3 linked regions of the Oryzias latipes genome follow. The protein of the gene in region 3 purifies or fractionates together with the protein of the main gene of each other region. This does not show direct contact. Links are inferred from orthologs where the notes say so. Each region holds a gene or a part of one and is shown on either strand. Other genes may lie near its edges.

What was found.
Region 1: the proteins of aplf (region 3) and lig3 purify together in Homo sapiens (affinity purification with mass spectrometry; 3 studies listed by BioGRID and IntAct, counting the BioPlex papers as one, with this or other methods). This does not show direct contact. The link is inferred for Oryzias latipes from reciprocal best matches to the Homo sapiens genes APLF and LIG3.
Region 2: the proteins of aplf (region 3) and chd1l purify together in Homo sapiens (affinity purification with mass spectrometry; 4 studies listed by BioGRID and IntAct, counting the BioPlex papers as one, with this or other methods). This does not show direct contact. The link is inferred for Oryzias latipes from reciprocal best matches to the Homo sapiens genes APLF and CHD1L.

What each region holds. Positions count from the first base shown.
Region 1 is NC_019872.2:27,680,963-27,684,275, reverse strand, and holds the end of lig3 (DNA ligase 3), read right to left. Parts: intron 3,037-3,313; coding exon 2,894-3,036; intron 2,819-2,893; coding exon 2,744-2,818; intron 2,658-2,743; coding exon 2,511-2,657; intron 2,332-2,510; coding exon 2,181-2,331; intron 2,076-2,180; coding exon 1,996-2,075; intron 1,582-1,995; coding exon 1,495-1,581; intron 1,373-1,494; exon of another isoform or gene 964-1,372; coding exon 730-963; 3' UTR 534-729; downstream 1-533. UniProt on the Homo sapiens protein: Isoform 3 functions as a heterodimer with DNA-repair protein XRCC1 in the nucleus and can correct defective DNA strand-break repair and sister chromatid exchange following treatment with ionizing radiation and alkylating agents.
Region 2 is NC_019862.2:6,469,682-6,473,328, reverse strand, and holds the end of chd1l (chromodomain-helicase-DNA-binding protein 1-like), read right to left. Parts: intron 2,403-3,647; coding exon 2,294-2,402; intron 2,222-2,293; coding exon 1,970-2,221; intron 1,874-1,969; coding exon 1,792-1,873; intron 623-1,791; coding exon 503-622; 3' UTR 348-502; downstream 1-347. UniProt on the Homo sapiens protein: ATP-dependent chromatin remodeler that mediates chromatin-remodeling following DNA damage.
Region 3 is NC_019859.2:725,934-730,330, forward strand, and holds the start of aplf (aprataxin and PNK-like factor), read right to left. Parts: upstream 2,895-4,397; 5' UTR 2,869-2,894; coding exon 2,776-2,868; intron 2,566-2,775; coding exon 2,494-2,565; intron 2,019-2,493; coding exon 1,870-2,018; intron 1,744-1,869; coding exon 1,638-1,743; intron 1,529-1,637; coding exon 1,420-1,528; intron 1,126-1,419; coding exon 1,001-1,125; intron 1-1,000. Other genes in the region: fbxo48 (F-box only protein 48), read left to right, coding at 3,921-4,223. UniProt on the Homo sapiens protein: Histone chaperone involved in single-strand and double-strand DNA break repair.

The sequences.
Region 1 (3,313 bases), on a different chromosome or scaffold from region 3:
TAATGCGCTTTGTACTCGTCTCCTTGTCCCCAGGATTTTCTTAGAGAATTTGTTTTATTCGAGATTTTTTTCGAGAAAATTTCTTTTTTTAAAGTTTTGTTTCTTCAAAATCCTTTTTGCTGTAAAAAAATAAACTTTGTAGTTCATAAAGATTTACAGCAAAAAACAAAGAAAGTTATCTAGAAATAAATACCAGACTTTTTTTAATGCACTCAATACACTTCCATACCTTCATTTGCGTAGTAAAAAAGTTGTAGACACAAGTTCTCTTCCTTTAAATCCTTAACTAATCAGTATTTCCTCTAGTTATTTAGTGTTGAGGTGGCCGTTGCCATGGAAACAGGCTAGCGCCCTGTTTTTGGACGTTTTCATTTGAGAACTTCCAACTTTAATTGAGCTTCTTCTGGAGTGTTTGAGCTTCATGGCAGCACTTTTCTTGGGAACACGTTTGTATGTGGCGTTAACGTAAACTCTGTGAACGTTTTCCTTTTTTTGCCTAAAAGTGCTTAAAAAAAGAGACGAGGAGTCGCTTGTATCTGTGACAAAAACCAAGGATTTAATACAAGCTTTCAGTTCTAACTTTAAACTACAGAAGTCTGCTTTCATCTACATCTCGTGTTCAGTTCATGATTTTAGCGTTTGTAGTAGAAAAAAGAAAAAGTCCATCAGATCTGCTAATTCATCTGCAGAACCCGTTCCTGAGAGCCGAGGCTGATGGTTCCAACTCTCTCAGCAGGGGGGCACCACGCGCCTCTTCCGGATGCATTCCCAGATCCAGCTGGGCGACACCCTCTGAGCCCGGCTGTCCTCTCCGGGTGGGGCCAGCGTGTGCGTGGCGGAGGCGGCGTCGTAATCCGCCACCAGGTCTCCGTCGTACGCCACGAAGTACCTCCGGAGTCTGTCGGCGTCCTGGATGGAGGCGGGCAGGAAGAGCTTCACCCCACCAAAGATGTCCAGCAGCGTCTGCAGGGCGGCCAAACACAAACACGCGTCATGCCCCTCCCCCCCGGCGTACAGAACCGAAGAAGTAAGCTGTTCGCTGGAAGAAAATAACTTTTTGACAGACCTGTTTTTAATCTAGTCTTTCAGCTTCTAACTGGTTCTCTGGAGTAGAACTGGACCTTTGAGACGGTCCAGAACCAAAGTTTGAAGGCTGGATTTGATTAGGAGTTTCACCTCATTTAAACTTTAAATCAAACACAGTTGCCCGCTTTTTTATACATCGTTTAGACTTTACGGGTCGTCCAGACCCGCGAGGACAACAATGTCATGTTTGAAACTCTTCCTCATAAAAGGCTTGAGTCTGAATCAGAACATTAAAGAAGAATAAAGCCGGTTCTATTGTTCAGCTGCTCCAGAACCACAGACAACATTTACATTGTTCTCTGATTATTTCTACTTTCAACCCAAACGCTGGTCTGTCTGTAGACGCCCTCGTGAGGACCGCCGGTCAGTGCGAGTCCTGGGGGAGGACAGGGAGGGTTTTGGACCCACCTTGTCGTTCCTGGCCTCCAGGAGCTGGGGGGTCGCTCTGGGTTTACTTTGCTGCCCGTTGCTGTTGACATTTTCGCTTTTCTTCATCTGTTTGTGGAAAAACTAGTCAGTTTTACACGACTGCACTTCCTGGTTTGGACACTAGGCGGAGCTACTCATAGAAGAACTGGAGAGCAAAACGGTTATTTGAACTTTCCAGAGTTTATAATGGAACTGCTGACATTTCTTACTGAATAATTTCATGTTGTTGTGTTATAAATAAAGCAATAATGAACTGTAAACAATTTTACGTTGCTGTTGAATTAAAAAGGTGCATTCAGCTTAAACAATTGTAAAAGACGTTTAAAATCTTAGACTGTTTCTCCATGGAGACGTCTGCAGCTGTTTAGTGACTAAATGTCGTCGGATCAAACACTTTTTACTAAAGTCCGGCAGGATTTCCTCTTTTCTTAACGAACCTGACCCAGATCCCAAATATCAGTTCACGTCGGCCCTGCCCACCTTTTTGGCGCTGGAAGCTTCCGAGTTGGGAGTGCGGGGTTCCGACTTCTGGGCCTTTGCTTTCGTTGGTGTTCTGTTAGCTGTGAAATGTTAGCATCAGATTGACATTGAGGTTTTTTCTTTTCCTTTGATTTGGAGCCAGAACAGACGTTCTGAGGGAGACTCGACATCAGAGATGAACTTACCCGTCTTTTTGGGGGGAGCGCTCGTGTTGGAAGAGGGCGACGGCGAGCTCCCCGTGCTGTCCCCCCCTGACGACCCTTTGTTGTTGTCGGCGGTGGACGGGCCGGCCGTCACTTTGAAGTCGCAGTGCTCCTTGGAGATGCGGAACAGCTCCTGCGGGAGCGATGGACGCACGTTTAAACCCATGAACCTCTGCTCCTCCTCTTCATCATTTGTCACATGACCTCCCGTCTTCTCAGCGGGACATAATCAGCTGGACTGCACACCTCGCCGTCGGCCATCTCTGCCCAAACGTCTGTGTTTTAGGCCGCTGAGGAAACTGAAGGTCTCACCCTGAGCTGGTGCAGGTTGGTGGCGGTCTTCCAGTCTTTGTCGTCGCGAATACGCGTCATGCGCGGGAAGCGGATGGAGATGCCGTCGGCGGTGTGCATTTCCGATTTGGAGAACTCGGCACCGGTTATCTCCCAGACCGGCGCTTTCTGCGGGAGGGAAGCAGCACATGAGAGGCCCGCGAGCACTGCTGGCGCTTTCCTGCAGGATCCGGACGCCGAGCGGAACACCTCACCTCAGGGTCGCGGATAATGAAATCTGGATAATAGTTCTTGACGATTTTCAGCCAGCCGGGGATTTTGCTCGGCTCCTACAGAAGCAGAGGATGAACTCCTGACTGTTTGGAATTTTCCAGCTCCGCCTCTCTAAGTGGATCTTCTCTGACCTTGCTGATTTTAATCACATCCAGCTCCTTCTGGAGCCGGGCCAGCATGGCGTCATCGTATCCTCCGGAGCACTTGGTCACGGTGCACCATTTCTTTGAGTCTGGGTCGTAGCAGCCCATCAGAAAACTGGACATGATGCCCCCTGGTGGGAGGAAGAACAAGTACAACTTTAGAGCAGCGAGTGTTGCTTTGCTGACAATCTGAGTTTACTTTGGAGTTTTTTTTGGGTATGACCTTCTTCATGAGATTGCTACAAAGAAAATTGCTTTAAATTGTTTAAGGTTTCACTTTGATCATCTTTTGGTCTTTTTTTAAAGTGTTCCCAGTGGTCTTTTAATTATGATTATGCTATTTTTTTGTGCCAAAAATCAAAAAAGCTGTGTTGACATAGTTTCTGCAGAGTTCTGTTTCAGCTTGTG
Region 2 (3,647 bases), on a different chromosome or scaffold from region 3:
CCATGGTTACCAATGGTAGAACACTGATTCCAAGCATCACCCTCCTTTTAACAAGTCAAGTCTGCTTTTCTAACCCAATCAGCCTAACAGAATGATCTCCAGCCTTATGCGCGTCAATATTCTCACCTGAGTTAACAAGACGATTACTGAAATGAACTCAGCAGGTCCTAAACATGACAGTAATGAAATGCAGTGGACAGTTTTTTTTCGGGATAAAGTTAATTTTCATGGCAATTGGATTTCATGGCAAATTTCATGGCAAAATGGACTATGAAATTCATCTGATGACTCATCATAATATTCTAGAGTATATGCAAATTGCTATTATAAAAACTTAAGCAACAACCTTTCCAATTTCCAATATTTATGGAATTCTCAAAACTTTTGCCACGACTGTACAATTTATTCCCTCATAATAACACCTAAACACTTCAACAGATCAGCTTTAATATGATTTAGCACTTAGTTCATCCAGGCTTGGAACATGATTTAAAATGAGCCTTTAAAGTTGATGCAGGAACTGGGCAGTGTTGACTTTTCTCTGTTTGGAGAAGCAGCACTCCAGCCAGGCCTTCTGCACAGGAACAGCCGCTGGGTACCGACCCCTCAGATCCTGGAGCTCCTGGTTCACAAAGGTTTGGTTGATAAAAAAGGATTTTTTTTATCGTATGTTTGGTTTGACATATTTGCACATTATAATTTAGACAATTCAGAATAAGACATTGACGGAGCAGAGTTGTACAACATGGACAAAAGCTTCATTGTCTCCACCTCTTGGTGCATTTGTGTCTTGTGAGATTTTGTGATTTGTTCCAGTTGTTATCTGTCTTTCACTTTTCCAGTTTCAGGCTTCTGATTGATGTAAATAGACTTCACTGCTGCTGTCAGAATCGCCTGCAGGAGGTCATTGTTGGATCTTCTTCCATGGAGTTTGATATGAGGCCCAGCAGAACCACTGCTCTAGAGCAGCATCAATCCCTTCTGTCCTGCTCGAGTCTGCCACATTCAGTGAAGTTCTAAAGATGACTTGATCATTTAGTTGTCTAAAATATTTCCAGTCACCGCCACATGTGGAGTTAGCATCCCTCCTCTAGCCAGTGTTTGTTCCAAAACCATCTTTAAAACCCAAAGTCTCAGTACCTTCATGATGTCTTTTTGCATTTCCCCCACGCTCCTTTAGACCACATTCTGGTAAGTGTTGGATTATTACTTATTTTCCAAAAAGGCCCCATATTTTTGTAGAGCTTTGAATTGACTGATGGAGAGCTCCTGCCTGGACGCTCAGCTCCTCCCATCATATTTCCTCTCTTCACTCTTCCCTCCATGACTTTATTCTGTACTTTTAACAGCTCGACTTGCCTTTAAGATCAAATACTGTAGTTTGTATGGTCACTTCCTGGTCCACAGCACGGTCTCAAAGGCTTTTTTCAGCTTTCAGCTTTTTCACACTCAGAGCTTCCTTCAATGTCTTTAGCTCTACTCTCAGCACTCGTATGATTACTTTCCTCAGTGAGGAGAGAGTTTTGGCTTTAATTTTGTTTGTATTTGGGGGGGCGAGCAGCTTCAAGTATCTGGACTCTGAGCTGAGGAGGTTCTGTGTTTTAAACGGAGACAAGCTTTATCTCCAGAGATTTGATGTCGTTAATACCTATTCAGCTGTCTGGGACCTCACATTATTTTGCATCTCCATGTCATTAGACATTATGACTAAGGGAGATGCTGGAATAGCTGGAAAACTCTCCTCTGTGAATCCTTCATAAAAAAGTGTCCTGCTGGGAGCAGGATACAAACCTGTGTGTGGATGTTGTTCTCCACCTCTGCTACAATGTGGGTGACGTTGTCGCTCAGGACGTCCTCTTCATCTCCATCATATGTGTTTTGAAGTTAAGGAGTCGTTTTGACGCTGACATATTTGACATATTAGGCTTTTGAAGGCGTTTCAGAAACACAGAAAGCTGTGAAAGGATATGTGATAAGGTAGCGAGCCATACTTTTTCTTTCTGATGCAGGAATATTGTAGAAAAACACACGGACTCCGTGCATGAAGCCCGGCAGCTCTGTGCCGCCCTTCACTTGAGCTTTGCTTTCTGCTACGCCCACGTCGCTCCCCCCATCTGAGCTGGTTGATGCCTGTTTGGGGTCTACCGTTGACGCTCCCGCCGCTGCTGCCGCTGCTGTCTGAGGTGCCATTGTTTTCCTGTCCACTTTCTTGTAATAGTATCTGGGAGTTCTGTTAAGGAACACACAGCCTGAACCAGAACGTGTGAGTTCAGAAGATGGCGTGTTAGGATACATGAAGGTGGCAATCCCTTTGGAGGTCAGATGCTTCCTGATGAGCCTCTCAGTGCCATACCAGTTAAAAGCTTTGGTGGAGTGGCCGATACGGGGAAGATGAACACTGGCTGTTTAGAAACAAAAACAAAGAAAGATCAGAAACGGACACCAGTGTAAGCATTCGTCACATGCACCCGTACAGCGGTTGACCCATTTGGGTGCTGCGGGTTTTCGGGTTGTCTGGGCCCATAGAGGCTCGTAGAGAGGAGTGGCCACACCTTAAGGGGAGCAGAGGTATGTCTTGCAGTTCCCTTGAGGCTCATACGGTCACCTTAAGGGACGTCATAAAAATGTAACATACCATTATCGTGCGTTTGGTGAGAGTATCGTCAAGTATTTGTAAGGATAATGTGAGTTAGACACACTTATGACATACAGGTAATGCTTTTGTACGATCCCTGTACGCTACAATCTTAGTCTCCTTACTGACCGTGCACAAAGGCTACACACTCGGGGCGTGCATGTGATATGTCCAGTAAGTGCCTGTAGGATGCCTGTGGAATGCCCACACAAGCCACACTCTGATTGTCTAATCTCCTAATTTCTAACAGTCAGGACAGATTTACCATGTGAACAGCACTAACAAGCTTCTAGTGCTTTAAAGGGGTTTAAAGGACAACTCTGTAAAACACGCCTACATTTCACCTACCGGTACTTCCCTCTTCCTTACCCTTATGTGTTGTACATGTGTTCACTATGATCTGTTGTTCCTAGGGAGCCCGTGGGAAAAATGTGCTTGACCATTTTGGCAGTCCTGGCTCACCGAGCGATCTACGACTTTGTTTTTTGTGTGGGCGACCGTGTGTTCTGTACGAATCTGAAGACAGCCCTATCCACCCGTAAGGGCAGCTGTGACTAATGTTTCAATGCAGGTAATCACAGAAGGTTTAGTTCAAGTTTAATGTTTAATAGGTGAGTTGCTTCTATCCCTTGTGCCTTGGAGGCACGTTAACGTTGGGAGTTGGGTCATCTAGACCCACTAGACAGTGCGCTGAACCTTTTTTCTTCAATGATTTGTGATCTTCACTGGTGTCCATGGATTACATGAAATCCTCTCTACCTTTATCCACCTTTGTCATGGTAGGAAGAACATGTCAATGTAAGGGTGGGGTCATCTTGACCCCATAAGATAGCACCAGGGTTACTTGATCCAGTTCTCTTATACAGTCAATTGATTTAAACTCAGCCTCCAAGGCATGTTAACCTTGGGAGTGGGGTCATTTGGACCCAACAAGAAAGCACAAGGGTTAAAGGAACTAGCCAGGGGAACCAGATCTGGGTTTGAACATTTAAGTCCTCAAATACTTTGGCAA
Region 3 (4,397 bases):
CCGTTCCTTAGAACCTCAGAACCGTCTGCATGGCGGGTTCCTCAGAACTGTTCCTTAGAACCTCAGAACCGTCTGCATGGCGGGTTCCTCAGAACCGTTCCTTAGAACCTCAGAATCGTCTGCATGGAGGGTTCCGCAGAACCGTTCCTTAGAACCTCAGAACCGTCTGCATGGAAGGTTCCTCAGAACCGTTCCTTAGAACCTCAGAACCGTCTGCATGGCGGGTTCCTCAGAACCGTTCCTTAGAACCTCAGAACCGTCTGTATGGCGGGTTCCTCAGAACCGTTCCTTAGACCGACAGAACCGTCTGTATGGCGGGTTCCTCAGAACTGTTCCTTAGAACCTCAGAATCGTCTGCATGGCGGGTTCCTCAGAACCGTTCCTTAGAACCTCAGAACCGTCTGCATGGCGGGTTCCTCAGAACCGTTCTTTAGACCGACAGAACCGTCTGTATGGCGGGTTCCTCAGAACTGTTCCTTAGAACCTCAGAATCGTCTGCATGGCGGGTTCCTCAGAACCGTTCCTTAGAACCGTCTGCATGGCGGGTTCCTCAGAACCGTTCCTTAGAACCTCAGAATCGTCTGCATGGCGGGTTCCTCAGAACCGTTCCTTAGAACCTCAGAACCGTCTGCATGGCGGGTTCCTCAGAACCGTTCCTTAGACCGACAGAACCGTCTGTATGGCGGGTTCCTCAGAACTGTTCCTTAGAACCTCAGAATCGTCTGCATGGCGGGTTCCTCAGAACCGTTCCTTAGAACCTCAGAACCGTCTGCATGGAGGGTTCCTCAGAACCGTTCCTTAGACCGACAGAACCGTCTGTATGGCGGGTTCCTCAGAACTGTTCCTTAGAACCTCAGAATCGTCTGCATGGCGGGTTCCTCAGAACCGTTCCTTAGAACCGTCTGCATGGCGGGTTCCTCAGAACCGTCCAGGAGGAACCTCCAGACAGAGAAGCTCAGCAGGTTTTAGCTTCAGCATCTTCATCACCGCTTTACTCAACCGTTTCAGGTGCCTTCTCCTCCTCAGCATTCATCTTCCTCTTTCTCTGCTCCTCTTCCTCTTTCGATGTGGGCGTGGCCTGAACACCGCCAGCAGGTCGTTTCCTCCTCTGAAGAGTTGACTGAACTAAACACACACAAAACCCCATCAGACCAACAACATGCTTCTACAGAGCAGAACCACAACCAGACAGAACCGGTCAGTCAGATCAGAACTGGATCCGGCTCTTTCTAAGCGATCAGAGCAATTTCTGAGGAAGAGCCAAAGATGGTCTCTGCAGGACGTTGCTGTTCCGCTCAGGTGAGTCCAGGTGTTCTCTCGTGTTCTGAGCGTTCCCCTGGCATACAGAGATTCCTTCGGGTTCTCTGGTTGAATTTGGCTTTTTTACCCATGAATCTTTGCACCGTTTGCCACAGTTACCTTTGAGCATGAGGGCTGGGGTCTGCACGGCGGCCGCCATCATCCAGGCAGGAAGGGTTCGAACCCTGACCTCAGACAGAGCGGCGTGCCTCTGATCCTCCATGTTGGTCTGTGAAGATCAAAGGCCGGACTTCAAAGGACAACGAGGGTTCGAGGACCGTTTCCTTCCTGATGCTTCAGCGCAGGGCCTGACATAACGGTGTGGGCGGGGCACCCACCTGTCGGGATCTCCCGTCTGACTCCGCCCCCTCCTCTCCTGCTGGACCCTCCTGACCTTCTCCTGAGGCGGGAAGCTGCTCCTCCTCCTCAGCGCTCCGGATGCTCCTGCAGGACACAGAGACGTGAGGCAGCTCCTGCAGGAGCAGCTCTTCATCAGCTGGAGGGTCTTCCTCCGTCTGTTTGATCCCAGCTTCAAACAAAAGCGGCGCCGCCCACACCCTCCTGGAATACCTGGAGCCCACGGCCTCCACCCTGAAGACCAGCCGCCCCGGCAGCAGAGAGAGCAGCTCGCCATCGCGCAGCGTGTACCAGGATCCTTGGGGCAGGGGGCGGGGCTCCGAGGACAGGGAGGCCTGGATGAAGCACGGGTTGGCGTGGGTCTGGGGAGGGACATGAGCGCATCAGTTTGGGATCTGGGGAGGCCCGAAGACACCAGGAGGACCATCTGCAGACGGCACGGCTCCTCCTCTGAGGAGGTGCAGAGACAGAACAGAGAAGGTCAGAGGTCATCCTGGATGGATCCACATGGTTCTGATTGCCTGAAGTTCCACCTGGATCTTCTTCAGAACCGTTTCAGTAAAGCTGAACCGGACTCAAACAGATCCGGTTCTGTTTTGGTCAAACCGTGTGACGGGTTGCGTTGTTCATGTAACGTCAGTGGTTTCCTCCATCTTGGCCGGATGTGACATCATCAAACCCTGAACTGAAAGACCCGATCGGGTCGCTGTGGAACCAGAACCGTCTGGATTTTCTACATGCAAACTCTAGCAGAACCGAAAACGTGACGGCGGCGTCCTCCTGAACCTCGCCGTGTTCAGAACTCTAGGAGAGTGTGTGTCTGGGGGGGGTCGGTACCGGTTTGAGGCGCAGCTCTCCGTCCAGGTTCTGCAGCAGCCCGTGGCGTCTCGACACCCTCTTGTCGCTGATCTGGGGTGGAGACAGAAACACTCAGTCACTTGTGAGGCGATGGAGCTGAGGATCAGCGTCCCTCACACCACGTCCCCTCAGGAACTTGTCCTGAGGGGGGTACCAGCTCCAGTTCTGCGTCAGAGGTCAGGTGATCACCTGCCAGCTGTGGCAGCGGAGTCACGTGACCGTGCCCCGCCTCTGTCTGACCCGACACTCTGCGGGACTCACTGTGAGCAGGGGACCCCGGCCCAGCAGCGTCTCCCCTGGCGGAACGGGGACCGGATTCCCGCCATCCACCGGGACCAGGAGGAAGCCGGACATGAGCTCCGGAGGCGGGGGGGTCCGGCTGGCGGGAAGAGTTTATCAACACACGCGGTTCGGAAAATGCGTTGGGTCCAATTGACCCGGGTCTCTGCGGATCTGGACTATGAAATCCGGGTCTGAGAGCCGCAGGTGAATTCGGGAACAACTTCCGCTACTTTTGAATCCAGACTTCCGGTTTCCAGTGGAGCATGCGCAGTGGTGTCTTTAAGGTGTCAGCAAAAAAGTTAAAATTTCCATCGATTTTTACGAAAGATCCAATTTGAGTAATTAAAAATTGAAATAAACAAAAACTTAACATGTTCATGTCAGCCTGAAGTTAAAGTGTTGATCAGTAAACTGACCTGCGCAGAAAAAAACGTTCAAAAAAAGATAAATTGTTTGGATTTTAAGTAAGAATATTTTCTCTTTAAATTTCACATTAGATTACAAAAGTTTAAAAACAACGGAGTTTGGTTTTTTGACAGTGAGGCCTTTCTACGCATGCGCGTGGTTTAAATTCACGATGACGTCACGTCTGTGTACAAACAACCGTTGGGACATTTAAACAGTCAGCTGTCGGGATCAAACCCCGTGTCCTGTCCGCGCTTGATTACTGCGTCCCTGTGGTTCAGCGTCTCGGGAAAGAACCCGATTCCGTTTCTGCTCGGAGTTCAGACCGGAACCGGCGGCGTTTGTCTGCTAGCTGCTCTCCCCCAAAACACTCGTTTAGACGGAGGTGGGGGTGGGGTCCCGGTGGGGGGTCCCGCTTGAGCCCTGATCCGGTTCTGAGGCTTCGGTCACGTGCGCCTCCCGCCCCCACGTCCGAGGCTCAGGTGCCAAACAGAGAGCAGGTAGGACTTCTGTCTTCAGCACCTGTGACGTTTTTGAAACGTGACCGGAAGTGAGGCCACATGAAAAGGTTCTGAAGGCCGATCCGGATCCCGGACTGCTGTGGACCCCTGAGGAGCAGACCAGGTGGGTCTGAGACTACACGATCCACGTGCTAAAATCTGATTGACACCCCCATAAATGTCTTTCATCTTTCAGTCGCCCCCTCCCCCTCCCCCCTTATGATGCAGGATGAACCTGCAGAGACTCCGCCCCCACACCCGATGGAAGGAAGCCCCACCCTGATGGCAGCCCCCCCCGAACGCCCCCCTCTGAACTTTGTGGAGGCGCTTCCTCTGGAGATGAGCGTGCGGATCTTCAGCCAGCTGGACGCTGACAGCCTGTGCCGCGCCTCGCAGACCTGCCGGCTGTGGCACGCCGTCATCCAGCAGAGCGAGCAGCTGTGGAGGGGGCAGGGCCTGGTGGTGCGCGCCGTCTGCCAGAGGGAGGTGGACCGCGACAGGAGCCACGGCCATTCCTGGAAGGTGAGCCTGGTCTCCCCCCTCCCCCAATATGGCCAGGTTATAGGGGGGGCGGGGGAGTTCTGATGCCTCCCTCTGAGGCCCCTCCCTCATCACATGACCCTCATGTAAGTGAAGGTCCCTGACCTCCTTGATGATGAAGGTCATTGACCTCCTCCTCATCGCACCTCCTCATGC